Schizosaccharomyces pombe: one gene and its partner. The protein of the gene in region 1 purifies or fractionates together with the protein of each later gene. This does not show direct contact. Each region holds a gene or a part of one and is shown in the gene's direction. Other genes may lie near its edges. The genes, in order: rgf2 and wsc1.

Evidence for each region.
Region 2: the proteins of rgf2 (region 1) and wsc1 purify together in Schizosaccharomyces pombe (affinity purification with western blotting, with the first as the bait; one study listed by BioGRID). This does not show direct contact.

Annotation. Positions count from the first base shown.
Region 1 is NC_003424.3:5,075,134-5,092,223, forward strand, and holds rgf2 (RhoGEF for Rho1 Rgf2), read left to right. Parts: upstream 1-5,584; 5' UTR 5,585-5,971; coding exon 5,972-8,474; exon of another isoform or gene 8,475-8,476; intron 8,477-8,529; coding exon 8,530-8,951; intron 8,952-8,995; coding exon 8,996-9,547; 3' UTR 9,548-9,922; downstream 9,923-17,090. Other genes in the region: protein mcp3, read right to left, coding at 3-2,861; Golgi alpha-1,6-mannosyltransferase Och1, read right to left, coding at 4,053-5,243; translation initiation factor eIF4A Tif1, read left to right, coding at 10,430-11,608; Spg1-binding protein Etd1, read left to right, coding at 12,956-13,865, 13,928-14,193; MAP kinase kinase kinase Win1, read left to right, coding at 15,308-17,090. UniProt on the Schizosaccharomyces pombe protein: Stimulates the exchange of Rho1 and Rho5 GDP-bound form into GTP-bound form. Controls septum formation, cell wall synthesis and localization of F-actin patches.
Region 2 is NC_003423.3:1,290,916-1,307,233, reverse strand, and holds wsc1 (transmembrane receptor Wsc1), read left to right. Parts: upstream 1-5,954; 5' UTR 5,955-6,618; coding exon 6,619-7,743; 3' UTR 7,744-9,558; downstream 9,559-16,318. Other genes in the region: ldb1 (LIM domain binding protein), read left to right, coding at 1,238-2,413; sqs1 (G-patch and R3H domain-containing protein), read left to right, coding at 3,206-5,293; SPOM_SPBC30B4.09 (uncharacterized protein), read left to right, coding at 10,001-10,156; SPOM_SPBC3D6.16 (uncharacterized protein), read right to left, coding at 9,974-10,212, 10,271-10,319; disulfide isomerase Pdi3, read left to right, coding at 11,352-13,532; U3 snoRNA associated protein Dip2, read right to left, coding at 13,902-16,318.

The DNA of each region.
Region 1 (17,090 bases):
TACTATTTGTCTCCAAATGTTTGCTGTAGTGTATGCTCGCGCTCCCTCAATCGTTCAGAAAGTTCAAAGCAATGCAATTTCAATTCAGAGTTTACTTTTTCCAATTTTCGAACTCGCTTTGTTTCTCTCATCAACTGCTCTTGAAAAACTGACCGCAGTGACTTTTCGGATTTTGCGTTCTTACCTGGCATAAACTCCTCACAAGGAATTTGTTTTTCTTCTAAGAAGATTTCCTTGTAAGCTTCAAGTTCTAAAATAACTTTTTCAAGATCTTCTTGCTTCATCTGAAGTTCATTTGCTAACATGCGTTTGGATTCGGCCAAATAAGTATACGCATTTTCCAATGAATCGTATACCATCCCCTCCTTGAAGTGCAGTTCAGGTACTACAGCATTATTCTGTAAGTCAATGTTCAATGACTCATCCTTTTGGACAACAATATTTCTCACGTCAACATTTTCTCCCAATAATTTTCTGTTTTTATCCATATCGCGCAGAGCTATGTCTGACATCTCTTTAAATACGGAAACTTTCTCACCAGATGGGGACTTAGTGATTGAGATTTTTGTGTTGTTGGAAATAGAAGATGAATCATTAAAGCTTTTGACTAATTTACTAACCCTTCCTGAGATAGAAGTATTATTTTCGCTTTCTTGCCCTAGTTGCTCAAAGTCTGAACAAGAAGGTGATCTGCAATCAGTATTTACACCGATAAGCTTATCTTCAAGTAACGACTGAAGAGTAATTTTATAATTCCTTAACTCGATTTCCTTCGTTTGGTATTCTTGATCCTTTTGTACAAACTTTTTTGTTATATAAGTCAGCTCATCAGAAAGTGTATGTTCATCAAGATCTTCAAGCTTTGTAGATGGATTAATTCCAGCTTGAGAGCATACGTTTTTGTAAACAATGAACAAAAGATTAAATATTGAAATTCCTTTTCGTACACTTTCGGAAATTTGGGATTCGGTAGCATTAGATGAATCACTTTTAGCGAACGATGGCTCGACAAGCTGTAAAAAAGAATAGAGGTGCTCTTTTTTATTAATAAATGATTGATAAGAGTTTAACAAACTGGCTAATTTGGATTCACTTAACTCCAATTGCTGCTTCAATATCTCATTCTCCTTATTCGCGGTTTCCAGGTGTGCTCTACCTTCAGAAAGTTTGGAGTTTACTGAATTTAACTCTGCATTCTTTTCAGAAATCTCACACTGTAAACTATTGTTAGTTTGACTTAAAGTCTCCAAACTGTCATGGAGCTTCTCAATAGTTAGCTCTTGATCCCTGATTTGGCTTTTTAAAAATGCAGAGCGCCCGATTTCATCGTCAAGATTTCCCTTAGTGTTTTTTAAATCCTTCTGTAATCCATCCCGTTCATCAGTCAAACTAAAGACCGTGTCAAATTGAGAGAGTTGCTCATCCTTTAGGCATTTCATTTCTTCATCAAGTCTCAAAACCTTACTTGATTCCACTTCAAGATTGTTCTTTAATTCATTAAGTTCTTCCATAAGATATTCATTTTTTCGAAATACATTCTCCATATCCTTTATTGACGACTGTATTTGTTCTTGATAAAGTAGATCCCTTTGTTCACTAACAGAAGACTGAAACTCCAATAAGCCTGCTTTTTCTCTAAGACTTTCGGAAAGTCTTGAAATTTTTAATTCTTTTGCTCGAAAATCATCATCATAATGACTAATTAATGCCTCCTTGTTGTTTAACTTTTGACGCGCTTCTTTCATCTCGGTTTCATAATTGGCGTTCATTTCTCTCAGATTTTTTTCATCATTTTTAACAGTTTCTAGAGCTTCTTGCAATGACTGATTTCTTTCTAGCAACGCTTTGATTTGATCCTGTAACTTCTCGGTTTCAAGTTTTAAATCCCTGTTTTGGGTTTGAATTTCATTAATAGAATTTTGAGCTATAGAAAGCTTTTCTTCATAACTGATAGTTTTATTTTCGGCTTGTTTCAAATTTGACGCTACTATACTTAGAGATTTCTGCAACAACTGACGCGCGGCTTCACTGTTAAACTTGTCTTCCAATGCGTTGTTATGCTTGGACACAAGGCACACATACTTGTCGTTCATAATAGAAGAATGAAGTTTGAGCTCCTCAACAAGAGAACATAAATAGGCAATTCGTTTCAGAGATGTGTCACTCCAATCACTATTCGATGACTCCATATCTTTTAGAACATCAGGTAATTCATAATCGCCAAATAAGAATTTCCATGTTTTTTCTAACGAATGGCATCGTCGTAGTTGAATTTCTGTGTTTAGTTGCCTTGCTTGAAAGGAAAAGTTTACTTGAAGCATAACATTGTGCACTTGAAGTAGTTCAGTCAAAGTAGCAAAAGATTTAAATCGAGAAAGTAATTGAGAAAATGTTTGGTTATCTAAAGAAAATTTATAAAGCGTCAAAGTGAAATTATGGCCATCAGCCAGTGAACTGAAATATTTTTTTGCATTAGTAGTAACATTTGGTAGATTTTGGCACAATAGAAGTATAAGTTTAAGCTGAACTGATTCAATCCCAACGTGTTCTTCGTTGCATATGCATTTGATAATTTTTCTACTGCAATAAAAGCAAGTATCCCGCCGAGAAACTTGTAAATCTTTCTCTTCTCTAGCGCTGGAAGCATGATAAGCATTTGGTGATTTTGTTAAAGTTACATCTGCAGTGGTTGATTGATTATTCCCTTCCGATTTAACTAAGAGTTTAAAACTGTTTAAAAGATAATAGGAAGGACTCTTTAGCTTGAAATTCAAAAGTTGACGCGCTTGAGTTGAGAGCAAAGAAACAGGAAATATCCCGTTATGCGTACGCAAATGATTTTCGTGAGTTTCTTTAGTCATTAAGTATTTAATCAAATAAGTTAGGCTTTTCTAAAATATAATTTTGAGCAAGCAATCTACCAATTGTAAGATTTATCAACGATGCTTCTAATTCGAAGATGTAAATCCTGCACTTATAGAAAAGAAATAACGGAAAAAAGAAATACTTTTAACATCAATTAGGAAAAGCATTAAACCTTCAGGTTGTAAATGCACTCAACAATCGTGTTTGTGACAGTGGGAAATGGAGGTAAATAAACACTACAATAACTTCTTATATGGGTGTTTAATGTTCTAAGGTATTCAAAGCAAGGGCGTTAGCATAGCTTTAAAAGATAATAGTAAGTTTATTCAATTATTGAAACACTTTTCAGTCTATTTATTTATAATAAAAATAATGTATAGTTGAAGCTGTAAAGTGATGAACTTTGTCGGTCCAAAGTAAACAAATATTATAGAATACAGCGCTAATACTACTAGCAAAATAAAGTCACCTTCTGAAAAAAAATGTAGTTGCAAAGAAAGAGAGACAAACCTCAAAAATTTAATGAAGAAATATGAGGTCCTTTAATCCCAAGAAGCATTCATGCAAGTCTAAAGACATAAAGTAATTACAAAGCCGAAACAGGTTTATCATTCATCTTCAAATCTTAGGCATAATCTCTGTACTACTTTGATAATTCACCTAAGTATACAGAAACGCTTTGGGGTCAATATACCATCACAAAAGAGAAAAAAATTGAAAAAGACTGATTGTGATCAGCGCAAAAGTTTTATAAAATTATTGAAAGAAACAAACAGCTTTAGAATTCAAAACAGTTTACAAGGGAAAATATTATAGTGCTGAGCTATAAAACGCGTTGATGAAAGCGCTGAAAAAAAAAAAAAAAAGAAAGTTGATCATCAGGACATAAGCATTGGCTTCATATAATTCAATAATGTCACCAATATTGCCAACTTGATTGGCTAACGTACAAAATACATGCAAAATTAATCGTAAAGAGATGTAGAATTATGAGGGAAAGATTAAATCAACCACGAAAGAAACTTTTTTGTTTGCGCAAGCTATAATTTACAAAAATTGCTCGAACACAACCCGTAACAGTTTCCAAACCAGATCAAATGCGTGTATTTAGTATTATCGAATTGCCCGGTTCGAACACTTTAAGCACATTATACCAAGAAATGACCACCCACCCACATTTCAAACGATCAATCATCTTTCCATGAACCGGCAAAGAAATGTTGAACATACGCCATCGGATCATTTGGAGACTTGCTACCCATGTGACCGACACCAGGACTAAATGCAGTTATGGGTAGGATTAAAACATCTCCAACAAGATAAGGTTCTTCTAAATTGGTGATATTCTCAACCGAGAAAGGGCCATACTGCCAATTTAAATAATCCATAATGGCATCGGTCCAAATACCTGGACCAGTCCACTCCATTACTGACTCGCCATTTTTCGAAAGCTTCTTTGAATCATGCAGCTTCCAAGTTTCATCGGTAATTCTACGAACAAGTTCCCAAAGAATTGGATGGCCTGGTGCAGCAGCTATGGTCCACTGACAGAATTGTACACGCCTGGCATAGTAGTCGTTCCAATCAGGGCGGTCGGGATCTGCTTCAATGCCAACGATCAGTCGAATATTACGCTTACGATATTCACGAGGGATCCAATTGTTTATATGCTTCAATGGTGCCGTATCAATGTCGCTATAAATACCACCTTTTGCCAATAACACTAGATACCGAAAGAAATCGGCCTTCAGAACAGGCAGAGGCATCATTGCATACGCTTGTGAAATCTTGGAAACTGATGAATCGCCAAAGCTACTGATGACCAATGCTTTAGACTGCTCATCGTCTAAAACAGCATGAGAATAACTGGGATGGTTGATTCTCCAAAACCGAGTGTACTTCATAACCTCTCTATCAAAAGGGTCCTTGGAAGTTTGCCATATTAACTTGGGAATGTCAGCGTGATAAGGCACCTCAAATTCATAAGTATCTTTAGGAACGATCATGTGTACAGCTTCATTTTCTTCGTCAAAATCTTGAAGCTGTGAAAAGGAGTACCGTAGATGAAGTTTATAATTATTTTCTTCATCAAGTTCTTCCAAGCTGTGTTCCAGCTCTTCCCTCTCCAAATCGCTCAAGTAAGCTTCCAAATCTGGATCTTCTTCTTCTTCAATGTAAGACGGTTGATCATACAAAAGTTCCTCCTCCTCCTGTTGACCAACATAATCTTTATTAGCGGCTTCCGGAGTGTAATCCTCCAACATCGAAATCTCTGTCAAATCTTCCATTCCTTCTATGCTACCATGATTGAATAACAACAGTATGGATCCCGCTATCGCAGCTCCTATTACAATACTTCTCAATCGGAGTCTCAACATGCTGAACTCGTTATATGCTAATGCTCAATGTATCAATTAATTACTTAGTTCGTTAACAAAGACTCATTAATGTGTACTTAATGCAGCTAGGATACAGATTTTGCGGTTTTTCATAGAATCGCAGCAAAACACAGGTGGGCGCTCTGGCTGAGTTTGCGCAGATGCTCTTACTTTAACTTCGCACAAGCGACCCGAAAATCGAAGGGCTTTAATGTGATATTACTCTATAATAGCAACAGCCACACTTGATTGCGGTACCGTGCGTAATATCAGTCCAAGTATTGTCGGCTGTAGTTAACGGTGTGTGTTAGGTGTATGTACACAATAACAGAAAAAGGTTACCCAAAGCACCACCCATAATATAGAAGTGTAAGCAGCGATCCACTTCAAATCCGTTCTTTTGAGTATCCAAGCTGTTTGAATAATTGGAAAGCCGGAGAATTGGCATTAATATACGTACTCCGGCTTCTCGTGTATAATAAGAGGAATTTGGTGAAGTTTCCATGTTCAAATAAGACGACTTGTCTTGTAGAACCTTTTATTGTTGAAAGTAATTGGAGCGTTAAAAAAAAAGGTACTACTTGAATTTGAAAAATATCTTTCTTCTCTTTCTGTTGTTGTGTCGGTACGGACGATTGGTATCAGAAAAGCCCCTTTGCATAGCGCCGTTTTTCTAAAACTTGCGATACCTCGAGAGGGTAGTAAAATTAGAATCAACAAACAAGAAAATGCTTCGCAATGGAGCTCAGAATGGAAATATAAACTCTGAGTCTCATGAATCGTTTGGTAAAGCAGCTAAAGGATTTCGTATTTTTTCATCATTTAGCAGTAGCCAAAAACTGTTCCAAAGAAGGAGTTCTGGCTCTATCACACATTCTCCTACCGCTTTATCATCTACCACATCCCTTAATGAAAATGATGGCAATCATTTTCGTCCTGCATCGAGCCTTAGCTTTTCTCCCTCTTCGCTATCCAGAAAAGATTCGGGTCCTGGAGATGGCTTAGAAGTTAATAAAAAAAATAATTTTTATCGCCGTTCTTCCTCCACAGATGATTTTGGCATTTCTCATGCACGTAGTAGGAAAGAAATACAATCGCTCGGTAGACCCCATACTCGCCAGTCGTTTTCCGTCTCTGATGTATCTAATGGCAGTTCTTATCCTAACATTCGAAAAAATAGCGTCCATGTTAATGCACCCATGCCATCTTTTCCTGAAGGATCAACTGCCGTCTTACTTAAGCATCACTCAGGCTCCAAGTCTGCATCTGCGATTTCGAACATCGCCCCTTCGCATTCCAATTCTACCTCATCTCGTCGCCCTTATATACATCCGGCTTTTCTTTCTCAAGTCGCCGTTGAGTTCCGAAAGCGTCTTAACATCGGTGACCGTGTGAAGGATGGTCTTCTTTATAAAGATGCCTTTCTTGGATCGGAAGCTGTCGATGTATTGATGCATATAGTTCGGACGACTGACAGGAATTTGGCGTTACTTTTAGGAAGAGCCCTGGATTCGCAAAAGATGTTTCATGACGTTACTTACTCTCATAGACTTCGCGACTCGCTCAAGGAAGTTTACCAGTACCGACGTATCATTTCTCCTCCTCCTGGTCTCTCCTCGATGGATTCCAATGGATCGTCGATCGAAAATAACTTTCTCTACACAAAAAGAAGAGCGAACACGTCTGATTCATTTGACTCTGTTTTATCTGATTCTTCTACGACACCTACCATCTCCTCGTCTGTACAGGTAAATTCTTTAGCTTTCATCACCTCATCCCTAAGCGCAATTACTAAGGAGCCTGAAGCTCCTGAAACCGAATACAATCCTCATGGAGTGTTTACTCTTTTAACGGAATGCTACTCCTCTACATGTTCTCGTAATCGCCTTTGCTATTCTATATCTTGCCCACGTCGACTAGAGCAGCAGGCCCGTCTCCATTTGAAGGTCCAACCTGTATTAAGTGGGGGATCAACTTCGATTACAGATAAACAAGAGGAAGATCATCGTTTATGGTCGGAAAATGTTCCTAAGCAAGTTGTAGACCAGATCGATGTCCGTGAATGGAAAAGACAGGAAATCATTTTTGAGGTTATTTACACAGAACGGGACTTCGTCAGAGACCTAGAGTATATACGTGACTTTTGGATTAAGCCTCTTTCAACCTCAAATGTAATACCAGAAAACAACCGACAACAATTTATACGTTGCGTTTTTCATAATATCATGCAAATCCATGCTGTCAATTCTCGTTTGTCAAATGCTCTAAACCGTACTCAAACTCTGCAACCTGTAGTTAACACAATTGGTGATCTTTTCTTAGATTATGTTCCTAAATTTGAGCCTTTTATAAAATATGGTGCCAATCAGGCTATTGCCAAGTTTGAATTTGAGCGTGAAAAAAGTACGAATAGGAATTTTGCGAATTATGTTCATGAAGTGGAAAGATTACGAGAGTCTAGAAAACTAGAACTTAATGGTTATTTGACCAAGCCTACGACTCGCCTTGCGAGGTATCCGCTACTATTAAGTGGAGTTCTTAAGTACACTGATAAAGATAATCCTGATACGGAAAACATTCCTCGTGTAATCGAAATGATTCGTGAATTTCTTACTAAGCTTAACTATGAAACAGGGAAGACTGAAAATAGACTCTCGTTGTTACAGTTAAACGAACAGCTTTCCTGCAGCCCTGCGGATCGAGCAAAATTAACATTGTTTGATCCATCTCGCTTATTGATTTTCAAAGGCGTCGTCAAGCTAAAAGCCAGTAGTTATTCGAATGGGGACACTGAAAACGACATTCACATGTTTTTACTGGACAATTTTCTCTTGTTGTGTAAGATAAAGATTCAAATGAAAAGAAGAGTTCATAAACTGCATCTCAGGCCATTACCTTTAGAATTGTTGTCGATTTCTTACATCGAAGACTCGCCATCGAGAGGTAGCCTTCCGCGTCGACCATCTTCTGCTTTGTTAACTAATCCAATTTCAATTACAAAAAGTAATCCACCTCCTGTTAAAGCATACGGTTTGCAGTTAGTATTTATTGGAGCCCGTGGTTTTTCTATAAGTCTTTATCTCAATACACTGATTGCTAGAGACCAATGGAAACAACACATTGAGAAACAGCAAGATATCATTCGAAAGCGTCATTTGGTATTTGAAAGTCGAGGCATATGTTGTCAGTCCTGGTTTACCGGCAACAAGTTATTATGTGCCGTTGCCTATGGTAAGTATAATAAACAATATGTTAAAGAAGTAAATGTTTGTTAACAGCTCTTTAGATGCGGGCCGTAAATTACTATTTGGAACTTACAAGGGACTATATATCTCTTCTCGAAAAAGTAATAATGGCAGTTGTCTTGAACCCATTTTCAAGCTGCAATTACCAAATATCTCTCAACTAGATGTAATTGAGGAACATAACGTTCTATTGCTTTTAGCCGAGAAGATTTTGTACGAGTTACCTCTGGACGCTCTTGATTCAGTAGAACAAATTAATTCAAAGTCTTTGCGACGTGTAACAGGTCATGTTAGTTTCGTCAAAACAGGTTTTTGTATGCAAAGAATTTTAGTCTGTGCGGTAAAGTCCACCGTTTTAAATACTACATTGAGGATTTATGAGGCTGATCGTGCCTTGAAGAACAAAAAGACCCAGTCTCTAAAAAAGCCTTTTGGCAATCAAGCAACTTTGAAAATATTTACTGTGAGTTACCTCGTCGTTCTTTCTCTATACTAACATTTTTTTAGGAGGTACAAATGCCGATGGAAGCTTTGTCCGTTCACTTTCTCAAGACAAAGCTTTGTGTGGGAAGTTTTAAGGGATTCGATATTATAAGTTTGGAAAATGCCGTATTCCAATCTTTGTTAAATCCTGCTGATACTTCATTTAGATTTTTAGAAAAGAGGGAAGATATTCGACCGATTGCCATGTTTCGCTTAAGAGGAGAATTTCTCCTCTGTTATTCAGATTTTGCATTCTTTGTTAATACGAATGGCTGGAAATCTAGGCAATCCTGGATGATTAATTGGGAGGGCCAACCTCAAGGTTGCGCTTTGTGTTATCCATATATCCTGGCATTTGAGCCGGACTTCATTGAAATTAGGAATGCCGAAACAGCCGAACTCGTTCAAATCATAATGGGACAAAACATTAAACTTTTAACTGATGGCCGAGGGTTAATTAGTGAAGGAGGTGAAATACTTTACAGCACTGAGCCAATTCCATTTTCATCTGGAGAAAATCCTATAGTTCATTCTTTAATACTTCCTCCAGCAAATGCAGCAGGTCCTGCACTTTAGATCGTTTATGACAGTACTGTCAACATTTGTGCGAACTTCTCCTTGAGCATTTTGGAATACTATTTACTACTCCGGACATCTTTTGCATGCCACATCAATTGATTATAATATATGCTATTACAATCTAAGCTTCAAGAATCTATGACCCTGCTTCATCTCTTTAAGGAATAACTTTAAAAATTCCTACGTACATATATTTACTATGGTTGAGATAATGCTATTGACGATTGTGTGTTTTATTAAACGAATTGTGTCTTTTTCAATTTGCTCAACATTGCACGCTGTTTTTGTTACGAATCATTCTTTTTCCATAGATTTATTATGCATTTCTTTAGTCAACTAATAAACAACCTCTCTGCATTCAGCATATTCATTCATTATCTTTTATTGTGATTGTTTAAAATACTCATGTGTAATCGATAACTTTTCATACTATTGAAGATAACATGAACAGTGTTACAATAATAAAAAATGCTTTTATATGCATTCCAAACTCCTTAACATTTTTTATGTTTTAGCATTCACCAAATATTACCACGTAAAATACACTTTTTCGCAACGAGTTGCTTATCTGTATTAAACAGCATTAACGCAGGCTTCGATAGAGTGTGCAGGAGTTTATCGCCACGTTCAGTAGGGTTTTTCTTGCTACATCATTTTTTAGAAGACATCTAAAATCTTAAAAGTAAAGTGTGTACATAAATGTTTTTATAATTTTTTTAAATAGATTTTTCAGTAAAAGTCTGTGTATTTAAAGTACTAAAATAATCAGGAATTATTACAATTTTTCAGGTGTGTGACTGTGTGTTAGAGAAAATATTTATTACAACCCTTCAACTTTTTTTCCACAACCCACTCACCTAGCTAAGCAAGATTGCTAAAATGGTAGACCAACTGGAGGATTCGGTTATTGAAACCAACTACGATGAGGTTATTGACACCTTCGACGACATGAATTTGAAGCCTGAGCTTCTCCGTGGTATTTATGCCTACGGTTTTGAGCGTCCTTCTGCCATTCAGCAAAGAGCCATTATGCCCATTTTGGGAGAGCGTGATGTCCTTGCTCAAGCTCAATCTGGTACTGGTAAGACTGCTACCTTCTCAATTTCTGTTTTGCAGAAGATTGACACTAGCTTGAAGCAATGCCAAGCTCTTATCCTTGCTCCTACCCGTGAGCTTGCTCAACAAATCCAAAAGGTTGTTGTTGCTTTAGGCGATCTCATGAATGTTGAATGCCATGCTTGTATTGGTGGTACTCTTGTTCGTGATGATATGGCTGCCTTGCAAGCTGGTGTTCACGTTGTTGTTGGTACACCAGGTCGTGTTCACGACATGATTCAACGTCGTGCTCTTCCTACCGATGCCGTCCAAATGTTTGTTCTTGATGAGGCTGATGAAATGTTGTCCCGTGGTTTCAAGGACCAAATTTACGACATTTTCCAACTTTTGCCTCCTACTGCTCAAGTTGTTCTTCTTTCTGCCACCATGCCTCAAGATGTTTTGGAAGTCACCACCAAATTTATGCGTGATCCCATTCGTATCCTTGTTAAGAAAGATGAGCTTACCTTGGAAGGTATCAAGCAATTCTATGTTGCCGTTGAAAAGGAAGAGTGGAAGCTTGACACTCTTTGCGATCTTTATGAAACCGTCACTGTTACTCAAGCCGTTATTTTCTGTAATACCCGTAGAAAGGTCGATTGGCTTACCGAGCAGCTCACTGAGCGTGATTTTACCGTCTCCTCCATGCACGGTGATATGGACCAAGCTCAACGTGATACTTTGATGCATGAGTTCCGTACTGGTTCTTCTCGTATTCTTATCACCACCGATCTTCTTGCTCGTGGTATCGATGTCCAACAAGTCTCCTTGGTTATCAACTATGACTTACCTGCTAACAGAGAAAACTACATTCACCGTATTGGTCGTGGTGGTCGTTTCGGTCGTAAGGGTGTTTCCATTAACTTTGTTACCAACGACGATGTTCGCATGATGCGTGAGATTGAACAATTCTACAATACACACATTGAGGAAATGCCTATGAACATTGCTGACTTGATTTAAAAAATACAAAAGTCCTTTCTTCTCTTTGTTCTAGATATGGAACGCTCCGTGATTGCTCTTCTCGCAACCCGGCAAACCTCCCGCAACTTAATTTATCTGCTTTTCTTTGCCCATGTTTTTAATGCTTCTTTTATCTGTGCCGGTTGATAGCTGCTCACCATATGGTTTTTTGTGAGTCGTGTTAGTGTTTGCTGAGAAAGGATTTTTTTTTTCGGCTACGCTGTTTATTCATTAGGTCACAAAATAAAAGGCTGGATTTGGTTGATTTACATATATTTACTCTTCTTTTGAGCCTCGTGTAGCTGTTCTGTGATTACTTTTATAAATGTGTTGTAGTTTGGTTAGAAGGTTTGTCGTTTTTTTGTTTTTTGGTAAAACTAAATGAGTGAATAGAGGATGTCAATCTGTATTTTGGATTGAACTTTTATTTACTGCGTATACCTTTGTGGAATTAATTTTTTTGCTCAGAGCTAACGTATTTGTGTTAACCGTAACTGTCCAGTCGTACTTTTGTAAGGAATTAGGAAGTTCCTTTTGCTAAAAGTTAAATGGTCTGTAGTAATAAACAATTCTGCTAGGTAAAAGTTATTATTAATCATTGATCCATTAACCTATTATATTCGCTATGTTTATATTAACTGTGAGATTAAAGGTTGCATCACTTTACGCTCTCAAAAACGTAGCTTTAAACTGCAAACATTATTTGACTAGTTTTAAAGAGTTTGACTTTTAAGTCAATGTAATGAAAGAAAAGAAGAAAACAATGTTTTCCCTGCATCAACAGAGTTAGTTGAAGAGTTTATCGTAAGCAAGTAAAGAAAGTTGAAAGGCGTATAGCAACTTTTGATGCTAACATTGTGCTCATGAACGAGCAGTGGCTTTGAATCTTTGTAGAGTCATTCATCTTTTCAGTTTTTGGCTAACTTATTTATTTTAAGTTGAACATTTTTAATGAATAAAACTTGTAATAGACAGTCTTTTCCATTTCCTAGTCTATCTCTGCTAGCATTCCATCTTTACAAAGCCCTATTTAACGTAACCACGATTAACGCGTTATAAAGTATTTATCAGAATTATATAGCGCTTAAACAACATAACGAATTGCGTTCTTTGATGTTATAGAACTTTGTATTTCCTTATAAATCATTTACAGATTCATGTTCAAAATTCGTTATGTCGTTCTCATGACGACCGTTTGTTTACTAACAAAAGCGTGGTCTTGACGAAAGTGCCTTCTACCATTATTTACACACTTGAATGGGTTGACGCGTACAGTCTTTTCTCTACGGCAATAATTCTTTCTTTAATTTAGCTTAAGAGAAATATAGATTTACGAGTATTTCGTCAATGGGAGTTGTATACGGCAGTCAACAAAATTTAAGTGAATATTTCTATTCTTCTGTCAATATGGCAGAGGTTCCAGATACTTTCGAAGAGAATAGGGGTCATTCTTTTGAAGGTGTGACTCTACAACGAAGGCATGTGAAAGGCATGAAAAGTTATGGTTCAGATATTACACCGAGGCGCCCTAAACAGCTTGGATTACCGAAAGAAGTTAACACCTCCGAATGCATAGATCAAGGCTCATGGAGGAAACCCTCAGCATTTGAAAGCTTAAGAAGTTACTCCCGAAAATTTTCTAAACGAATTTTTTCATTCATAGGAGTTGAGTCAAAAAGTACTGTACAACGCAACGCTTCAGGTGCAGACAGTACGTCGTTGTCTCACTTTACGGCGAATGAGATAAACAAAGGCAACTGTAAAAAAACTGCGTTAAGTAATGAATTTAATTCGGCCAATAAAGGGAGCAAGGCTAGTGGTGTAGGTGCTGAACTACCTTCAGTTAATGGATTTATTGAAGGTGAGCTTCATGATGATAATGAGACAGATTCCTTTCGGATAAATGAATTAGCTAAGCAAATCCAAGAAACTTCTTTGGGTGCGACTACGCAAGAAGATGAGAGTTCGGATGGTATTTGCTGGGACGAGTTATCGACTACTTCGCCAGAGTCGTCGAAAGTGTCGGAACCTATCATTCAAGACAATACGCAAACGACTCATATAAATAACGATTCATCGGATATTCGATTTTCATCTCGTTGCGATTTATTTGCGGACGATGCGGATTCAGATTGGGAGCAGGACTTTAATGTGAAATTCGATAGTCCATTGATAATTCCCGAAACGGTAAACAGTGCAGGACACACCGTTCGAGAACAGCTTTTTGAGGTGAAGGAATTTACGAGATCCATCAAAGGTAAGACATTCATGTGTTGTAATGCTTTAGTTTTAACCGCTGCTAACTAAAAACACAAATAGACTTAAAAGATCTTTACGAAAAGGCAAATTCCAAAGATATTTACGACAAGGACTCAGAGATTTTAGGAGAGGCTAAGGCTATTCTACGGTTAGCGGATCCTGCAAATTATTCTGATTTAAAGGATGAGGACGCGCAAAACATTTTATCAAAATATAAAGTTAAGTTGGAAGGGGATTCTTCATTAGATTTCGATGCGTCCATGCTACCAGGGCTAAACGATCATGTGCATTATTTAATGTCCCAACTCCAACTATTATTACACTGAGTTTCTCTTTTTGGCTATTTAATCCATTAATGGAATGGGAAGTATCTATTTTGTTATCCAAAGTGTCAAAATTTCGCTTAGGATAATTTCAATAATTGTGAGAACAGTTTCGCATTGGTGGATAGCAAGTAAAGGTGAAACTGGCCATTACAACCTTTTTATACTTCTGCATCTTAAGAAGCTTTTGGTTTTATTGTAAATTTCTTTCGTTTTCTCTTTTTAATAAATCTATTTTGCAATAATATTTCGGAAAAAGTACTAGACAGATGTTTTGTCTTTTGTGAATATTAGTCCAACCTTTATTCTGTGATAAAAAGATTTTATTAAATTAAAGTAAAAGAATGTAAATCAAAAATACCTGAAAACCCATATCTATGATTTTGCTATTTAGTGAGAAATTCCTCATTGCACTGAAAATCCTTAAAACTAGTACCCCACTTCATACTATACTACGGGGTTAGACCACAATTAGTTGTTTATCCTTTGCACACCGCAAACCTATAAATTTTCTTTTTGTCAATTCCACATATTCTACAAGGAGGATTGACTTTTTAGTTCACTGATTATTGCTCTTTCAACAATTTATACGCGGTAGTTTTACTGCTCTTCGGCTCGTATAATTTTTTTACACAACACTTTTATCGATTTTTTAAGCCGAATTTCTACATTTAATATTTTATCATTTTTTTCTGCTCATTAATATTTACCGTATCTTTTCGAAAACCCATTGCTTTGGATGTGTGTGTGTGTCTCTCTCTCTACGTTCCTCAATTTGACTGCATTACTTTAATATACTTACAACCTGAATTCTGTTCGGTTGGTAATTCCTGCAATCGTTATTTGTCTTTGTCAACTTCGGATTTTTTATTTTTACATATAACAGTAGTTGCATTGACTTCGCTGCACAATTCCTTACACTGAGTTGGCATTCCTTGCATCTGTAAACCACTTTTTCATTACCCACTCCCATTTTTGACTTCAGTAAACAATTATTCTACTACTACTTGCCACTATTCCAAACTTATCTGTTTCCCGTTTTGGGTTTAAATTTGGGTATAACGGTCTTTTTTATACATAACTTCTGAAGCAATTCGAAATTTGTTCCTCAACAAACATGGAAAATATTTTGGATCCTTCTGTGGTCAATTCACATATACTAGAAAATGGCTCAAGGCGATCTTCTATCAATCCAATTCTTGATAGTGAATTGCGTGATAAAACATTTGAAAAGGCTCATCGTCGCTCTTTGACTTTACTTTCAAGTTTTACCTCGTCTATGCTTGAACTTCCTAACAACGGAAAAGAAGAAAATCACAGAAGGCCATCTGTTGCGCGTAGCTCAAGTGATAGATCCAAGGCGAGCGCCAAAGAGGACTTATTTTCAGAAGCTTTCAGAATGGCTGAACAGCCTCCAGCCGAGGCCCTTACTATTTCTACCCCTGTTGACCCAATCAATATTGATGAATTAGATCGTGCTTATGCCGTAAGTCCAAGCGATACTAGTAATCTACTACATCCTCCTACTTCTTCCTCTTCCATTCCTATACCAATTAAGAATGCTGGTCATTCAAACCTCGATCATCCTATCCGACCTAGTCTGCAAAGTAGTATTAGCTCAAATAGGATAATAAAGTCTCCCGGTATTAAGGAAGACGATTATATGCACAGAGGACGTTCTATTTCGTCGCCAATGATTGATGTTGAACACATAAATTCAACAGCAGTTCCAAGCAAAACTAAAAATTTGCCAGAAAAGCCCAAGCGTTCTCACAAACTAAGAAATTCTATAACATTTGCTAAAATTGAAGATCATCCTGAGAGGAAATCTCAATTAAGACGACTGAGTAGTTCGTTAAAGTGTTTTGACCCAGAATATGATTATAACGATCCTTCTCTAAGCATTCGTCGTGATAGTTCAACTTATTACTTTTCTAATGTTAATGAAACTTATGATGAGGAGGACTCGGATTTAGATTCTGAGACTTCAACTGTAAATTGGGTACAATCTGTTCTGAATCTCCCATCCTTACTTTCTGATGATTTAATGGCTAACCCAAAAAACAAAGAACGTTTTGAATGGCAATATATGTTGACTTCAGTTCTGACTGGTGATATAGTCCGATCTGAAAAATTACGGCTAAGAAAGATTGCTTCTTCTCGAGAAGGGCGAAATAGTGATTATTCTGATAATTTGTGGATGGAAATATGGTGTTGGCTTACTCATCGTTCCGTTGATTCTTATAGAGAAAATTTAAAACATCTTCGTACGGGTATGGTTGATGTGCTACTGGCCATTATGAATTTTCATTGGGATGAGAGCAACGAATTAACCCCTATTGTTGCTGTCGATAACATGCTGCAAAAACTTGATAAATATGAACGTTTATATCCTTCACGTCGTTCTATCCTTCAGGAACATTCATTATATGCTTCAGAATCTTTTCAGCACAAGTTGGATGTCTTGACGGCTTATTCTAATGTCACTCATGCGCTAGAAATTCAAGTTAACATTATTCGCTCGTGGGTTGGTAATGAGGAAATGGACATTACCAAAAATACTACAAATTCTATTAATAACGTTTCTCAAATTTCAAACGGACCATTTGTGGAGCGCTTTTATAGAGAAACCGGTTTGATTCGAGCTTTTGAGCAAAGAATCATGACTAATATGAATAGCGTATTAAGCAAAGTTTGTAATACGATTGTTACATATGCGGATGATTTAAAAAGTTATGGCTTGCCGCTTATTGCTGATGATTACATGCGTCTTCTTTCTTTTCCGTTTAGGTTAATCAAAGAGTTCCTAAATCTTCGCTTATCATGTGCAGAAAATATTACCTCAATTTCTTTATTTACGATTGACTCTTTACTAGATGACCTTCGGAACACTATGAAAG
Region 2 (16,318 bases), on another chromosome or scaffold:
AAAATTTTTTTATACCTAAAAAATCAATGATAAATGACCGTAAAAGAATTACCTGCTTTTCCTTTTCTTTGAAACTAACTCTCGTTTCATATAGTCAATTTTGTTACCTCGTTACACTCACGTGCTATAGTGAGAAATATTTAAAGTAAGTAAATAAAACAGCTAGAGAAACATTAATGGAGTAGTAATTTTCGAAAAACGATATAGAAATTAGACCAAAGAATGAATTAGTAATCAATTTTAGTTCTAAAAAAAACCATATTAATTGTAATCAGTATTATCAAGAAATACTAACTGTGCTGTTGTTCTGTATAACGAAAAAATTTTGATGAATGATTTCTCTTGCAATATCGCATTCATTGCTTTTTTTCAAAATAAAGTAATTCGAGATACATCAACTATATCAAATCTTTCCTGAAATCAAGCCTTTTTTACTTAATTTATAAACATTACACTATGCGACACCATTTAAAAAATTTTTTTTGGTTGATTTCGAGGTATACAAACACAAAACTTAATACCGATGCAAAATTTTTATTTCAACAATATTTAGTAAGGGCAATGATTTTGATGATCTTCAAATTCAAGAACTAATCATCAAATAAGTAATAATGTATAGAGACACTGAAAATAAATTACCGATTTTGTGATCTGTAAACTACGATTGCTTGTATACATTCGGAAAGGAACCTTACAACATATTAAAATAATCAAACCAAGACATTCCTAAATCTTTTTAAATATTATTTTCTATTTATTAATCTGCTGACTCTTACTTTGCAAGTTATCTTGACATACTCTCACATACATTTTTCATTCTTTTTAATATATCGAATTGAAAGGTGGTGTTTAAAACAAAATAAGAGAACATTGATAAAGGGCATACGGAAAACTGGCGTTGATCTCATTAATATTGATACTCGAAATCAGTGTAAAAAATGGGAACAAGGTAAATTACGAAGGAATTTTTTATTCTATATTTTAATTTGTAAAATGTTAATTTATATCACAAATTCAGGCGTTTGAAAGATGCTATCTTCACCCAAATACAAGCCGTTTGTAATAACACAGCGCATCACATTTTCTAAATGTCTTTAACGTAGCGTGCCAATCTCTAATTCACTTAAAGGGTTAACCATGCATGGCGGGCTCCGGCCGTTAATGTTTCACAAGCGCTTTGCACTTTGAACAAATCCAATTCTGCAGCGCTGGTGGCTTTCTTGTAAATTTCGCAGCTATGGTTGCAAACTATGCGTCCATGATGTATCATAATGGCTCGAATATACTAGGATACGGTGTTTTGCGATTATTACAATATAATGAACAGTTAATGTCAGGATGGGAAAGTACCATGAAAGATGATATTGGGTATTGGAGACGATTTGTGCATGATTTTTATACTGAAAAGGGAACATTTCGCTATAACATCGACTACAAAGATTCGCCAAACCAGGAGCCGAAATTGTTTGAATTATCGTATGCAGCACTTCCGCGCTTCTTATATCTGAGTTATTGCGGCAAACTTAAAAAGATGTCGTTCCTTTTGGGAAATACAAAGGAATTTGCCATTCCAAACAATGGGTATTTTGTGGAATCGTCAAGGGCAAGCATTTTATATCAGTATCAAGGCGGTGTACAGGTAATTGTATCGGGGCACTTGCGGGCTCATTTCTTTCGTGCTCCTTTGTTAAAATTAGACTCTTTAGAGTTTTCAGCTGTCGGACATTCCGAGTATCTTTTGCGCGAGTTAATGACAAACGCTTCCCTAGCCCTTTCGCAGTCGCGGCCTCCTCAAAATCAAATACAACACGATGGGGTAAAAAGTGAGGATCCGTCATCCGAAAGTGTAAATATTAACTCATCTTCTTCTCTTTTGCCGGATTCACCCGTCAACGAATATGGATTGGAACCGCACATCATGCGGTTCATGGAAATTACTGAAACAATTTCGGGAATGCGCGATCTCATAGCCTTCACTCTTGCTCAGCGATCGGGTCCGACTAGCGCTTTACATAAATTTGCTACAGCTTTACAACAACAGCATCAAATGCAAAAGTCTACTTCCTCTAATATTCCATATGCAAATCCAGCCCCCTCGGGGTTTAATGGCTCGCCTAGGAATGGTGATGTTGCTAGTCTTGCCTCTAATTATCGTTATGCCAAGCAACCTCCCACTATGCCTGCTAATGCAATTAGTCAAGCTAATCGTCTTTTGGACCAAAATAATATCCCCAATATGGATCCATCAATTCTTCCTCAATCCATGCCGATTGCCTCTGTTCCGCCCTATAGTCTTCAGGGGATTAAACGCCAAGGTACCCATTCCCCAATGGTTGAAGGTGAAAATCCCAACAATAATCCTAACTTCTATTCTTCTGATATGCTGAACGCTCAAAAACGTACCAAGGTATAGCTGTTTTTTTGTATTTAATATTCGGTTCGCTCGCTACTTATACATATATCTGCACTCACTGTTATTTTTCGTTGTCTAAGTTTGAAATTCTTAAGAAAAATTTCTATTACTTTCTTTTTTTTGAGCGTATTACATTATTTATTCCTTTTTCTGAATACACTTTTGTGTATGTGTTCAACTTCAAATTCCTTACCGTTCTCATCATATGCAGAATTTGTCATCTCGTTCCCTATTCGACGCTTCTCTTTTATACTTTTAAAATAAAAAGGAATTTTTTTCATTATAAAGTAATTCTATGTATTTTTACATTGCTCCCTGTTTCAAGAACAAATCGTTTCCCCTGTCGTTGCTCTCGAGGGACGTAAAAGAAACTGCATTAGTATAGCGTTCTATATTCTAACATTCTATTTCTTGCACTATTTACATTATAGTTATTTGGCTGTTTTATATGTTTTATACAAAAATTTATAACTTATAATTACATGATGAGCTACTGTCGGTTAATTCATATTCAACTTTGAGTCGGTCAATGTATGAATCTCCTCAACTTCAGTTTAAATAGACGTGTATACTTGAAATTAATAGTTAAATTGTAAATTGAATATTTAGAAATTTGTATTTAATACCGTGGCAAAATCGTTTAGTGTACTATATGAAGCACTTTCCCCCAAGACTCCATCCTACTACCACCATTTGGTTTACGCACCTCACAATTTAGGATTTCACCATCATTATTTATTAAAACAATTATATATTATTTTTTTTATCATATTTTTTGACTTGTATCCCTCAATGTCAAATTTTGATGATCTACAGATTTTAGATCAGTTACAAACTTCTGCCAGGTTTCGTGGTGATACACGAATCCGAAGATTTAAGGGATCCAATAATTCTAAAAGCCCTTTTGGTTTAAACCCTAGTAGTCGAATTTCACAATGGCCCCGAATTACCTTTATACGTGCTAAGGACAATTACAACCCGGCGGAAGAATTGTGTCAATTAATCGATGAACAAAATGCCCACAATGAAGCTAAGCACCAAAGCAAAGAGATTATGCTTCCCAAGGAAACCAACGTTAAGTCCTGCGAAGATTTATCAAAAACCGGTGAAATAAAGGCGTTGGACATTGTGTTATTTAAAGCAATTACTTCGAAAGGTGATACATTGAAAGTAAAGAAAATTCCGGAATATGCGGAAGCGTTTGATACCACCAAGAATGTAGAAGTTTCAAGTTTTCCTGAGAAAAGCATGAACGAAAATGTTTTGATTCAGCATTCTTTAAATCTTGCACCAAGTGATAAGGAAATTTCATCTACAGAAGAAAGTGAGCAGTTGTGTTACAAAGAACAAGAATCTGAGAAGGAGTTATATTCTAAAGATAATGATGACTCTTTAGACATACTAAATGTTCCAAACTTGGTCAATGATGATATTGCTAACAATAACGCTGCACCTCCACCGCCTTTGGCTCAGGCACAGGAGCAGTTGAGTACCGAAAATGAAGACGAGTTTGATATTGATGACACCACCGATAAAATGACTACGTTTACTATGAACAAGTTTGCCGACCTCTCCGTTTTAGAAGAAGATGATGATGATGAGGACGAAGATGAAGAGCTAGAAGGAGAGAAAGAAGAGGAGGAAGAGGAGAAAGAAAAACCTGAAATATCAAATTACGATGAGACAGAGGGTAAAGTAAATTTTTCACTTGAAGATTCGGAATCTTTAGAATTTGATGAGGGATCAGATGACTATGATTATGCTAAGTTAACGACGGAACTTGTGGGAAATACAGATTCATTAGCCGAAGATGAAGATGATATTTTGGAAGAAGATGAAGATGAAGATGAAGAAGAGCTTTTGGCAATTTTTGATGCTAGTGATGATTCCGAGATTGAGGCATACCTTAGTATTGGAGATACTTTGCAAAATGATTTTACTATTTATGATTATGACAGTGAGGATGAAGAGTACAATAACCCCTCAACTCAAAAAACGGAAAAAGTTTCTCAAAGCAAAAAAGGGGCGAAGGTAAAAGAAGAAAAAGGTTTGAAAAAAGATCGCAAACTTCCTAAAAAAATGCGTAAAGCTCAAAAGAAATTAGAGAGAAAGGCAGGAAAGGCTGTGGCCGCTAGAATGGGAGATGCCTTTTCCAATTCTTTGGACGATGAGAGCATGAACTTGTACGCTGAATTGCAAGAACAATGGCTTAAAGATAAAAGCAAAAAGGCAAGAAGACGAGCGGAAAGGGAGAAACTCCGCTCTGAGGGGCTACTTGGAAAGAAAAGCAAAAAGAAACTTTTGCGCGAAAGCCAGAAGCCGTCTTCTTCCGATTCTGACAATGCTAGTCTTACACGAATTGATAAGATATTTATAAATGATGTTTATCAACGGATGCAACAGTTTAAGCACTCGGCCATTGAAGAAATTTCCCTTCCTCCATGCAGAAAATATGTTCGTCGATTGGTTCATGCGCTTGCCAACGATTTGAACTTGAAGTCGAGAAGTTATGGATCTGGAAACAAGCGGTATACTATGCTTTCCAAAACTCATAAATTTGATGCATCTAGTGTGGATTTGGTTTCACTTACCAGGATTATGGAGCGTTTACAGACCAGGGTTGAGTATCAGTCATTTTCCAAATCTGGTAGGAAATCTCGAATGACTGTTTCCTCTGTGAGGTCGAGTAAAGCCACACGTGTATATGATGGCCAAATTGTTGGAGAAGATGCCCCTGAAATTAGCAAAGAAAATCCAGGTCGTCGGTTGCTCGAAAAGTTAGGATGGTATGCAGGTAAAGGACTTGGTCATCCCGAAAATGAAGGTTCCAAAGATAGTTTACGTGCTATTGTTAAAGTTAGCAGAAGTGGTTTAGGTTAGAAAACCAGGGTGACTGGTCAAACCGAGAAACTAATCAGCTGTGTCTTATTTACTTGAGATAATACTCCAATTTATATATATATATATATAAATATATACTATTCTAGGTTAAGCATCATATTCAAATTAGCGATTTGTACATATTGATGTGAAGTAAAAAATTAACCGTGGGTACTTCGACATGGTGTCTTTCCATTCAAGAGATAAACCGGAAATCCAGAAAGATAACTATCTTTTATTTTAAGATATAAACTTCATTTAAATAGACAGAATAATTATTCTCACTACAGGAGCAATTGAATATGTAAGTTGCTGCTATGGGCATACTGCAGCTAAAGAAGTTCTACAAAACGGTGATATCGCAGTGTACAGAGTTATTATTGCTATTTAAAGAAGATAATCGTAAAATCAGTTAGCGTTTAATATATAACACGTGTAATACAGTATAAGGAGTTATGTAAAGTAACGTTTAGGTCATTTTAACAGGCAATATCGGTCAATAGTGATACCCAACATCGCACTATTCGCAGTTTCAACCAAGTATCAATCGGAGCCTTTTTCATTCGTTAAATAGTATAAGGCAAAAATACCGTTTCGGTAAGGGTCAATAGTGTTCGCCTAGGTTCGACTGACTTCAGCCTTTATGGGGCCCGTCGGAGCTAACTTTTCCACTTAACAACTAATCGAATTCTTAAGTGTTTTTTGACGACAATCTGTCAAACACTGTATCCTTATTAAGGAACTAGTGTATTGTTTAAAGTAAAGGAGTTTTCAAGCCTGGGAAGCTCGAAGAAACGATTCAAACGGAAGCTCTGTGGATAGCCAAGTTCGGTACGGGTTTGTACTTTCGTCCCCGAGTATTTTGTTGAACTTCAGGAATTCGCGTTCTTTTTTAATTCTGAATTAATCTTTACTCTTTACTTTTTATTCGTTCTTTTTTTAAATTCTGTTTTTAATTTCGGAACAAACGAAGTTGGATATTGAGTACTTTTCACCAACTGCTCGGTCTTAATAATTCTTGATTTTGCGTTGCTGAGCCTTTATCCTTTATTGTTTTCTTTTTCATGTTGATAAAGAAGTGATTTTGCAACAATTATTTTCTTCATTGGCATTTGAATTTTTACGCTCTTTATTTTATTTACCCAATCTTTCTTTTCTTTCATTCGGTTTGCGCCTTTTGATAATATTTCTCTTAACTGGTCCAATAATTTGTTTTCTCTTTAGTCTATAGACAAAACAACTTAATTTACTGAGGGCAAAATTTTTATTACCAAATTTAAGTTTTAATTTTCATTCCTATTATACTTACGCACGATTTAATTTCCATGGTCTTTTTAAATTCCTCTCCCTTTAAGGGGAGGTTACTATTTTTTGTTTACCTTTTGATAATTTCTACTCGGTTGGTGGCGGCTGACATGAACACTCAATATGGCTGTTATCTCGTGGATAGTAGCTTAACTGAACAAGGCACGTTTACCTATCTTGATCCAGCGTATTGCTATAACAACATTTGTGGTGGATCTGATAATATAGCATTTGTAGCTATCCGTAATAATCAATGTTATTGCGGTAGTACACTTACTGCTACAGAAGTTTCAAGTTCTCTTTGCACAACGCCTTGTCCAGGTTATGGTTCTCTTATGTGTGGTGGTGATCTGTACTGGTCGGTTTATCTGACTGGCAATGGGGTTTTGCAAACCACGGTTTCTAGCTCGTCAGTGTCGTCTACGACCTCTTCGTCTTCATCATCATCTCCAAGCTCATCTTCAACTACAACAACAACATCTCCTTCTTCTTCTTCTTCTTCTTCGTCTTCGTCGTCTTCCTCTTCTTCTTCGTCTTCTTCTTCTTCTTCTTCCTCATCTTCCTCTTCCTCTTCCTCTTCCTCTTCGTCTTCGTCTTCTTCGTCTTCTTCCAGCTCTTCGTCTTCTAGTTCTTCCTCTTCCGTACCAATAACGTCTTCCACCAGTTCTTCTCATTCTTCTTCATCTTCAAGCTCATCTTCCTCTTCATCTTCTAGTCGGCCATCTTCGTCTTCGTCGTTTATCACGACCATGTCCTCATCTACTTTTATTTCTACTGTCACAGTAACACCAAGCAGTTCCTCTTCTTCAACCAGTAGTGAAGTTCCAAGCAGTACGGCTGCCCTCGCTCTAAATGCAAGCAAGGCGTCAAACCATACGTCCTTGAATGCAGGTGCTATTGTGGGTATTGTTATCGGTTGTGTGGCATTCGCCGTGGTAATGGCATTGTGCATTTTCCTATACTTCTATTTCAGGAGATTCAAAATTAGAATGAGCGACTCGGCAAATGAAGGAAAATATCCCTCCTATGCTAGTGAATTAGATTCTCGCTTGGATCCTGCCATGATGAATCGCAAATCAAGTGAATCTTTGGCTGACAGTCAGGATTATTCGAGAAAGATATTGCGTGTCACAAATTTGAACTAAAACAACATTTTTCTTTTTTACTTTATTTAAATTCAACCAAAAAATTATTTCTTCTTTATGGTGTTTATGACTTTCATAATCGTATGCTACAAATCTTTTGCATATGATCGGAAAAGTGATCATTTTGGTAACGATAAAAAGTTCTTTATGGTCGGTTCTCTGTTGGCATAATCTTATTTATTTATTTTCCCTTATTTTATTCGTTCTTTACTTTTTCTTCTTCTCTTTATCTTTCTTTCGGGAAACTGGATTTGTTTTCAATATGTGTTAAACCGTTGCAGTGTTAGTGACAAATCAGTTTCATATTTTTTTCTTATTCATTTTCGCTTTATCTTTATTTTCTATAACCGTCAATTATGAATTGATGAAATTGGGACTTGGGAAAGAAAGCAAAGTTGGCTTGATTTATCGGCTAAACCTTGATTTTTTTTTTAAATTTAATAAGATAATTTGGAAAGGCTAAACTCCTATGCAATAGTTGTTTTGGCAAAACTGGTTTTATTTCTTTCTTTATTTTTTTCCTTTTCTTTTCTCGTTGTCTTACTTCTTTTTGTTGTTATCTAATTGGTTGTTTTTGTGTCTTTGACGCTATTGTCTAGTAGCGATCTTTTGTACATTTGTCTACCCTTTCTCAATATGATGAACACGCTAAGTTTTCTCTTTTCTTTATTTTCCTGGTCGATTGGTGTTTGATCTTCACAAAACCACTTTTCACCTGGTCTACATCTTAATTTGTTTAGATCTTGGCGCTACCTAATTTGTGCACGTTATGGTTTTTTTCTTTTTACTTTATTTTTATTTACTTCTCCTTTCTTTATCTTCTTTTTTTATCCTTTCTCTTGTTCTTTTTTTGTTTTTGTTGTCCCTTTTTCATGCTATTTAGTGGACAGGTGTATATGTATTGGATATCTATGTATCGTATATATATACCGTTTGCTTACCTGTTATATACACGTGTGCTTGGTGTGTCAGGTTCATTTATGCAATGTATGGATAAATTAAATGATGGTTCTTTTTTGTATAATATTGTGTAACACCAACTTGATCTTAGCACGGGAGATACTTGCGGTTATTATTTTCCTTTATAAGTTTCAACAAGTCAAGTACGTCTTTGGTTTTTCTAGTTTCCTATTTCTTTTACTCTTCCAAAACCATTAGGGAGAAGGGAACAGGAAATAAGGAAACAAGAGGAAAAAAATTGACAGAGAAAGAGAAAAGTTTAACGGACGACTATTAACCAACAAGTTATAAGCATAAAGTATCCAAAGTCGTATGCAAGCGTAATTTGCACTTCAAATGTCAGTCTCAGTGTCAATTATGCAAATGCGTGCCATCTCACCATTCATTCATTGTGTTGTGATACGCTGTGGTTTATATGCAGCTCCCCCCTTTATTCCCTCCTTTCTTTTGATTTACTATTCATCAATGGCCCATTGAGGACCTTAACTTGAAGACGAAGCTAAGAAAACAAGGATAAAACGAAAAGAAAAGGCTGCTGTTAAAAGTCCTGTTTTTTTATAGAAGAATTTGGGTTGTTACCGAATCATTAAAAATGTTCCTTTTCTTTTCTTGACAGTTAGATCGTCTCATGATATTGTTGTTGTACTTTTTAGTTAAATTCCACTTAATTATTTAAACATATAATCCAAATTCAATCCATCCCATTTTTTATTTATACGTTCACAATCACTTAACGCTTTGATTTGAAAGTGGTTTAGTGTAAATCGTTGCACCACCTAATCATTGTTTACTACATTCTTGTTAGAATTTGAATAAAATTTTTTCCGTCTTTTCGCAAGCGTAAATAAACAGGGATTCGCAGCTGCGTCATTTATTGACGAATTTCCCTATTGTGTGACGTGTAGTAGTTCAGCCTTCCCCCCACACGTATTTACACCCACATATATATAAAAAGAGAGAGATTTCCACTTCTCTGTACACTTACCTACTGCCTTTATCCTTAGATCTTAAGTAGGCAGCATTATAACTCATTGCGGAACAGCTTTGTAGTAGCTTTTCATAAATCCAATTCCTTTAATTATTCATAAGACCAATTTTTGGTTAATTTTCTTGTTCGCTAAGAACTACCTTAATTGTGGACCCCGTTGAATCAACCTTCTTTTTATATTGATCAACGAACGAGCAATTCGATTAGGACTAGCATATCCTTGGTTTTCTTGCGTGTTCAATTACTAAAAACCCTGTTTTCTGTTTGTTAATATATATTTTTTTACTCTCCCTCTCTTAGGTATACAGGATGGCCCAGACGTTTCAGGAGAAACAACAGAGTCGAAGGATTAAAATGAGCACTGGAAACTTTTTTTCTAGAATGTGGAATGCCGTCGTGTTCGGCTTCGGTGCGGCCATTGGTGCCTCTGTCGCCAATGCAGCTCTTGGAGCCTGCTGCGGTTAAAAGGGAGGTGGGAATGGAGCGAGGAAGCCATTCTTCTTTATAAATAATTTGCTCCCTTTGTCCTCCTTATTAGTTTATTGGAGGACGTTTACTAGATGATTACTTTTTAATTACGAAACGACTTATTTATATAATCGGTACATGTTTTCCTTCCTGTTCGCATTCATGCATGTTCCTCGTGAAGTTCATTTTATTATGATGATTATTGCTCTCACGTTTGTCTTTTATTGATTTCCTTAAATTTATTTATTCGTTTTTTTTCTTTGATCTTTTTCACTTTAGCGAGTGGGCCCTTTGTCTTTAATTGAAATTCTTCAGGTATTGGCCAATAAGCATTTGCTTAATTCACCTTTTACTTTTTGTATCGAAAATTCAGTAGGTAGGTGGATTTACATGGTAACTAGATGGGTTGGATGTTTGTGATGAGTTAGTGGTTGGATTTGTATTTTAAAGGATGTAGGTAATATCAGTATAGCGTTAGCGACTGTATGGTTTGAATGCAACTTTCATAGACGGACTTTTAAAAAGTCTTATCGAATTACAAAAGAATGTATAAGCGAGGTTCGCTTCAGCTGAAGTGAGCTTGAATACGCTAACAATTTTGTGATGTACTAATGACCGCAACGAGAAGTAATATGAATGCAAGTTAGCAACATTCAAATCAACATATTATTAGCAGTAAATACTTCAAAGTGAATATTGGTGCATTCCCATTAAGCTTATTGTTTTGTAGTTGGTGTTCGTGATAATTCCTGGTTCCTTAAGATTTTCGTCCTCGACTCGATGGTGCTGGTTTTTCCGATGAATTTCTTAAATTTAGTACATCTTTACTGTAAATTAAAAAATTTTATTCCGTGCGTCTTTCAACTCATTTCATTAAAAAAAGAAATTTCAGACAAAGAGTATTTTCTACATTCTTATATCAAGTTTCTTAATATAGTTATTTTTATGGTATTATATTTTATAATAATACCACGTATTTATTGTAATATTAAGGTATTTCGCCGCATTGATTTCATTCATTTAGTAACAAAGAGCATGTGCTTACCTTACCAAGAACCAAATATTACGTTAACACGAACTCACTGAAGAAGAAAATTCTTTAACAATCTTGTAGTGATACAAGTTCACTTATTTAAAAGTTATAGATATACAATACAGTAGAAACGTGAAGTTTGGCTTTTTACATCAAACAATGCGGTCAAACACCTTTGGTTCTGTAATGCGTATTTCGTGGGTTGTAGCCTTTATAACGATGGTTCAAACCCTCGTTTCGGGAGTTCCACTTACTGACAATGATTTGGAGTCGGAAGTCTCGAAGGGAACTTGGTTTATAAAGTATTATTTGCCAAGCTGTGGTGCCTGTAAAAGATTGGGCCCAATGTGGGATAACATGGTTGAGAAGGCAAAAGAACAAGTTGAAGGCTCTAACTTTCACTTTGGTGAAGTTGATTGCTCCAAAGAGCTTTCTTCTTGCGCGAATATTCGTGCTGTTCCCACTCTCTATCTATATCAGAATGGTGAAATCGTCGAAGAAGTTCCTTTTGGCGCTTCCACCAGCGAGGCTTCTTTATTAGACTTTGTAGAGACCCATTTGAACCCTGATACTGATCCTGATATCCCATCCGATGAGGATGTGTTGACAGACGAAGATACAGAAGAAGTCGCCTCTATCCAACCCGCTCTCTCCACTTCCGTCTCTTCTCTTTCATTAGCTTCTACTGCCATGTCCAAAAGTGCATCTGCTTCTGAATTTAGTGGCTCGAGCGTTACTAAGGCTTCCAAAAAGCTTACATCTTCTCCTACTTCTGTGGCATCAAAAAAAGCCACCCTCAGCAGCGTATCTAAGGTTGCTTCTACCTCCTCTCTTCCTGTCACCTCCGTATCCGCCTCCGTAGATCCCAAATCCGCAGCTTCCAAGGTTCAGGACGCTGAATTTTCGATCCAGACCGCTCCAAGCTTTCCTAAGGAGAAGGAAGAAAAGGAAAACACTGAAGAAACTGAGGAATCGAAAAAGTCCATCAACCCAACAGGTACTTCCAAAGCCCTAGCACTTGATGCTGATATTGATGCTGCGTTGACCGATAAGGAAGGTTGGTTTATCCAATTTTATTCTTCCGAATGCGATGATTGCGACGACGTCTCCACTGCTTGGTATGCCATGGCTAACCGTATGCGTGGTAAACTTAATGTCGCACATATTAACTGTGCTGTTTCAAAACGTGCTTGCAAGCAATACAGTATTCAATACTTCCCAACATTCCTTTTCTTTAAGGAAGAAGCTTTTGTGGAGTATGTCGGACTTCCCAATGAGGGTGATTTAGTTAGCTTTGCAGAGGAAGCTGCAAACTTTGAGATTCGCGAGGTAGAACTACTGGATACTGTTAACGCCGAAAAGAACGGTGATGTCTTTTTCTTGTACTTTTACGATGACGATAGTGCCGAATATTTGAATATCATTCGTAAAACTGGAATCCAGCTTTTAGGACATGCTAACTTGTATCTTACTACCTCACAGCAAATTGCCAAGAAATATCGCGTTGTTTCCTTCCCCAAGCTCATTGTTGTTCGTGATGGCATAGCTAGTTATTATCCGGCTAAAATGGCACAGGACAACAAGGACTATAGAAGAATACTTGGTTGGATGAAAAACAATTGGCTTCCTGTTCTTCCTGAACTTCGTACATCCAATTCCAAAGAAATTTTCAACGATGAAAGTGTCGTGCTGTTCTTGTTAAATCCTGAGTTAGATGACTTTGATGAAACTAAGCGTACTGCTCAAAAGATTGCTACCGAATTTTTAGATGAAGAAGGCCGTACTTACCAGTCAAACTGGCAAAAAGAAACTGACAAAAAGAACTCTTTAGTAAACGAGGCTGAAGAGAAAAATGACTTAGAGGCAATAGAAGCTGCAAAGAATTTTCATGTAAATGGCAAGCCATCTCCTACTAGATTTGCATGGGTGAATGGTAAATTCTGGGCTCAGTGGTTGCGTAAGTTTGACATTGATATTGAAGCAACTGGGCCACGTGTGATTGTGTATAATGCTGCTCAAGATATTTATTGGGATGAAACCGCTAAGGGAACTCCTATTTCTATTGAAAAGGATACTGTATTTGACATTATTAAGCAGGTTGAAACCGATCCCGACCATTTGAAATTTAAAATTCTAAAGAAGAATCTTGGTGTCGAATATTTGGAATCATATGGATTGAATATTCGTGTTCTGTATATGGTCTTGGGGATTGTTACCGTTGGAATATTAGTGTGGTACTTTAGCGGAAGAAGAGCTAGAACTCTTCAACGTCGTAGACATTCCACCCCAATCCTTCCTGTTTCTATGAGAAGCACTGGAAACAGTGGAAAGTTTGATTAAATCTGTTTATCTTTTACCTCTCACTTCATCGTTCATCATCTCCGATTAAATAATTTATTGGTTTTATGCGTCATTTACTGTGATATCGTTAATTACTAGGAAATATGCCATAAATGTTGCTTCTATTCCGTTTCGTTGATCATTGAAAAGTTTTTTCAGTCCAATTTTACTTTATGAATTAAAGTTGATTATATTCAATTAGTTACGTTACTTACTTCGTAAAAGGAAATGAGTTTTAATAGAATTCTTCTAGCATTAAAAGCATATTTCAAATATTATAATAAAACATTTTTATTTACCACCAAAAATCCCAATTTAATACAAAATAAACTTCTCTATCCAAATATTTTTACCCAAGGATTAAGAACTTTAAACAATGTTGGAAAAGGCTCGTTTCTTTCCATCCACTTCTAAGGAAGTACTATCAATATCTTCTAATGAAGTATTATGAGTAAGCTCCCATTCATGTCTTAAATAAGAAAGACCAGCAGCATTGTAGCCGATGAGAGAACGCTCCTCCTGTAGTGACCCCCTCAAACTACTACGAATATTGTTTAGTAATGGACGCATTTTAACTGTAGTTGTCAACTGTCGGTGATACGTTCTGAGTAAAAAAAAGATTATACGAGAAACGAGAGGAATTGACCATTTTCTACTAGCCCAAATATCAATAAATCGAAAAAGGGATAAGACGTGCTCAAAAGGAAGCACGAGAAGAGCGTCATCTAAGTGGCTACTACGAATTTTTTTGAAAGTATTCAAAACGTACTCCTCAGCTGAAACACCTAAATGGGCTAATATCGGATTTCTCGGTCCACGGGCTTTACCAGGGCTCTTAAGCAGATCAAGTCTGTACTGAATTTCTTGATCCAAATCCTCTATACCTATTGTAATAGCTTCTAAGATCTTTTCTCCGTCTTTTAAGCTTTCAATTGTTTGCTTCGTGACAGCTGCCACGTCTCCGTCTTTAACCTCTCCGTCGGCTTCAGCATTTTCATAAGATGAAACAAGCGTTGACTCATATTGCTCCTCAAGCTCACGTTCCCGTTCTTCTTCTAGAAATACCAAATCGTCACCTTGTTCCCATAAACGTATTGAATGGTCATGGGAGCCAGAAACAACAAAAGTTGGACCAACAGCTAATGCCCAGACTTCAGAGTGATGACCGCGAAGTTTTAAAATTAGATCAAATGATTTACCGTCCCAATAACGAACTTCTCGATCTTTTGAACAAGTAAAAAAGTTGTAAGTATCTGGTTGAAATGTGACTTCCATAATAGAATCTTGATGTGCAAATATAGACTTGTGGCAATCGCCAAAATCAAGACCCCATATTTTGACATTCTTGTCGGCACTGCAAGTAACCAGCAACTTTGAGTCATAAGAAATATCCATAGAGAGAACTGGAAGCTTATGACCATAAAGATTTAAAAAGAATTTCAACGAATCCAAATAGTATACCTTGACGGTATTATCTAATAGTGAAGCAGCAACGAAACGACCATCAGGTGAAATTTTAACCGCAAGGACATCGTCTGTGAAATCTATTTGTCGTGTTTGCTCTAATTTCAACGTGGTGACTTTTCTAGTGGTACCTGGTACGAAATCAAAAGACGATTTTAGAGACCAGAGTTTGACTGTGTGATCGGCAGAGGCAGTCGCGAAGTAAGTGCCATCGTGACCAACCGCTAAATCCCAAATCGCGCCATCGTGAGCTTGGATACGTTCGATAAGAGAAGAGCTAGCAATGTCATAGACTTCAAGTTCTCCTGATTTGTAAGCGGATACGATACACTTGTCGTTATTTATAAAGCTAGCAGCAAGTACATAACCACATTCGATTGTACGGATACAAGATGTGGTTTTCTTGTTCCAAAGCTTCAAAGAGCCGTTAGCACCGCTTAAAATCACATCGTGATTAGCGGACAAAGCCAAGGTACGAACGTCAGCACGATGACCAGGAATTTCAATGGCACTTATACGCGAAGCCCGTTCAGTTAATGGTGCAGCAGAACCTTCAGATTTGACATCCAAAGCGTAAACTTCAATTGAGTTATTTTGAAGAGATGTTACCAACGTAGGTGTACGATTTCCTGGTATCCAAGCTACAGACGAAGCACGAGCAGTGGTTCGAATTAGAGCAAAAGGTTCATATTCGTCTTTTAACGTGATCGAAACGTCCTCAGACTTTTTACGACGGCGTCGTCGATTCAGAATCTTTTCGAGCTCCGCACTTGATCGAAGGCGAAAAACCTCCAGAAGACGGTCATGAGCTTGGAATACAACATAACGGTTTGAAACGTCGTAAGCCAAGGTGATGGGACGGTCACGGCTTTGACGGGTAAAGGTACCTAATTGCTGAAATGCTTTAGTAGTTGGAGTGAAATTATTGTCATCTGGAAAACTGATTTCCCAAACTTTAACATCAGAACCGGTACCAGCAGTGAGGCACCGTTTGGCGTCTGGTGAAACACACATAGCCCAAATTTCGCCTTGGTGGTCGACATGAGTCTCAACGCAATGCTGAATAGACAAATCCCAAAGCTTCATAAAAGAATCTTTGCCAACAGACAAAAGAAACGAATCAGACGATTTACTGTCAACGTCCATGTCGCCGGAATCAATATCTGTGTCCACCACTGTTTCTTCAGCTGTATTCTTCGAAGGAGGTGTAATGAACAAAAGCTTGGTAATTTGGTCCTTGTGTCCACGTAGTCTAAACAAGCCGGTTTCAGCTACAATATCCCATACAATAATGTCGGTATCCATGCTTCCACTGGCCAATC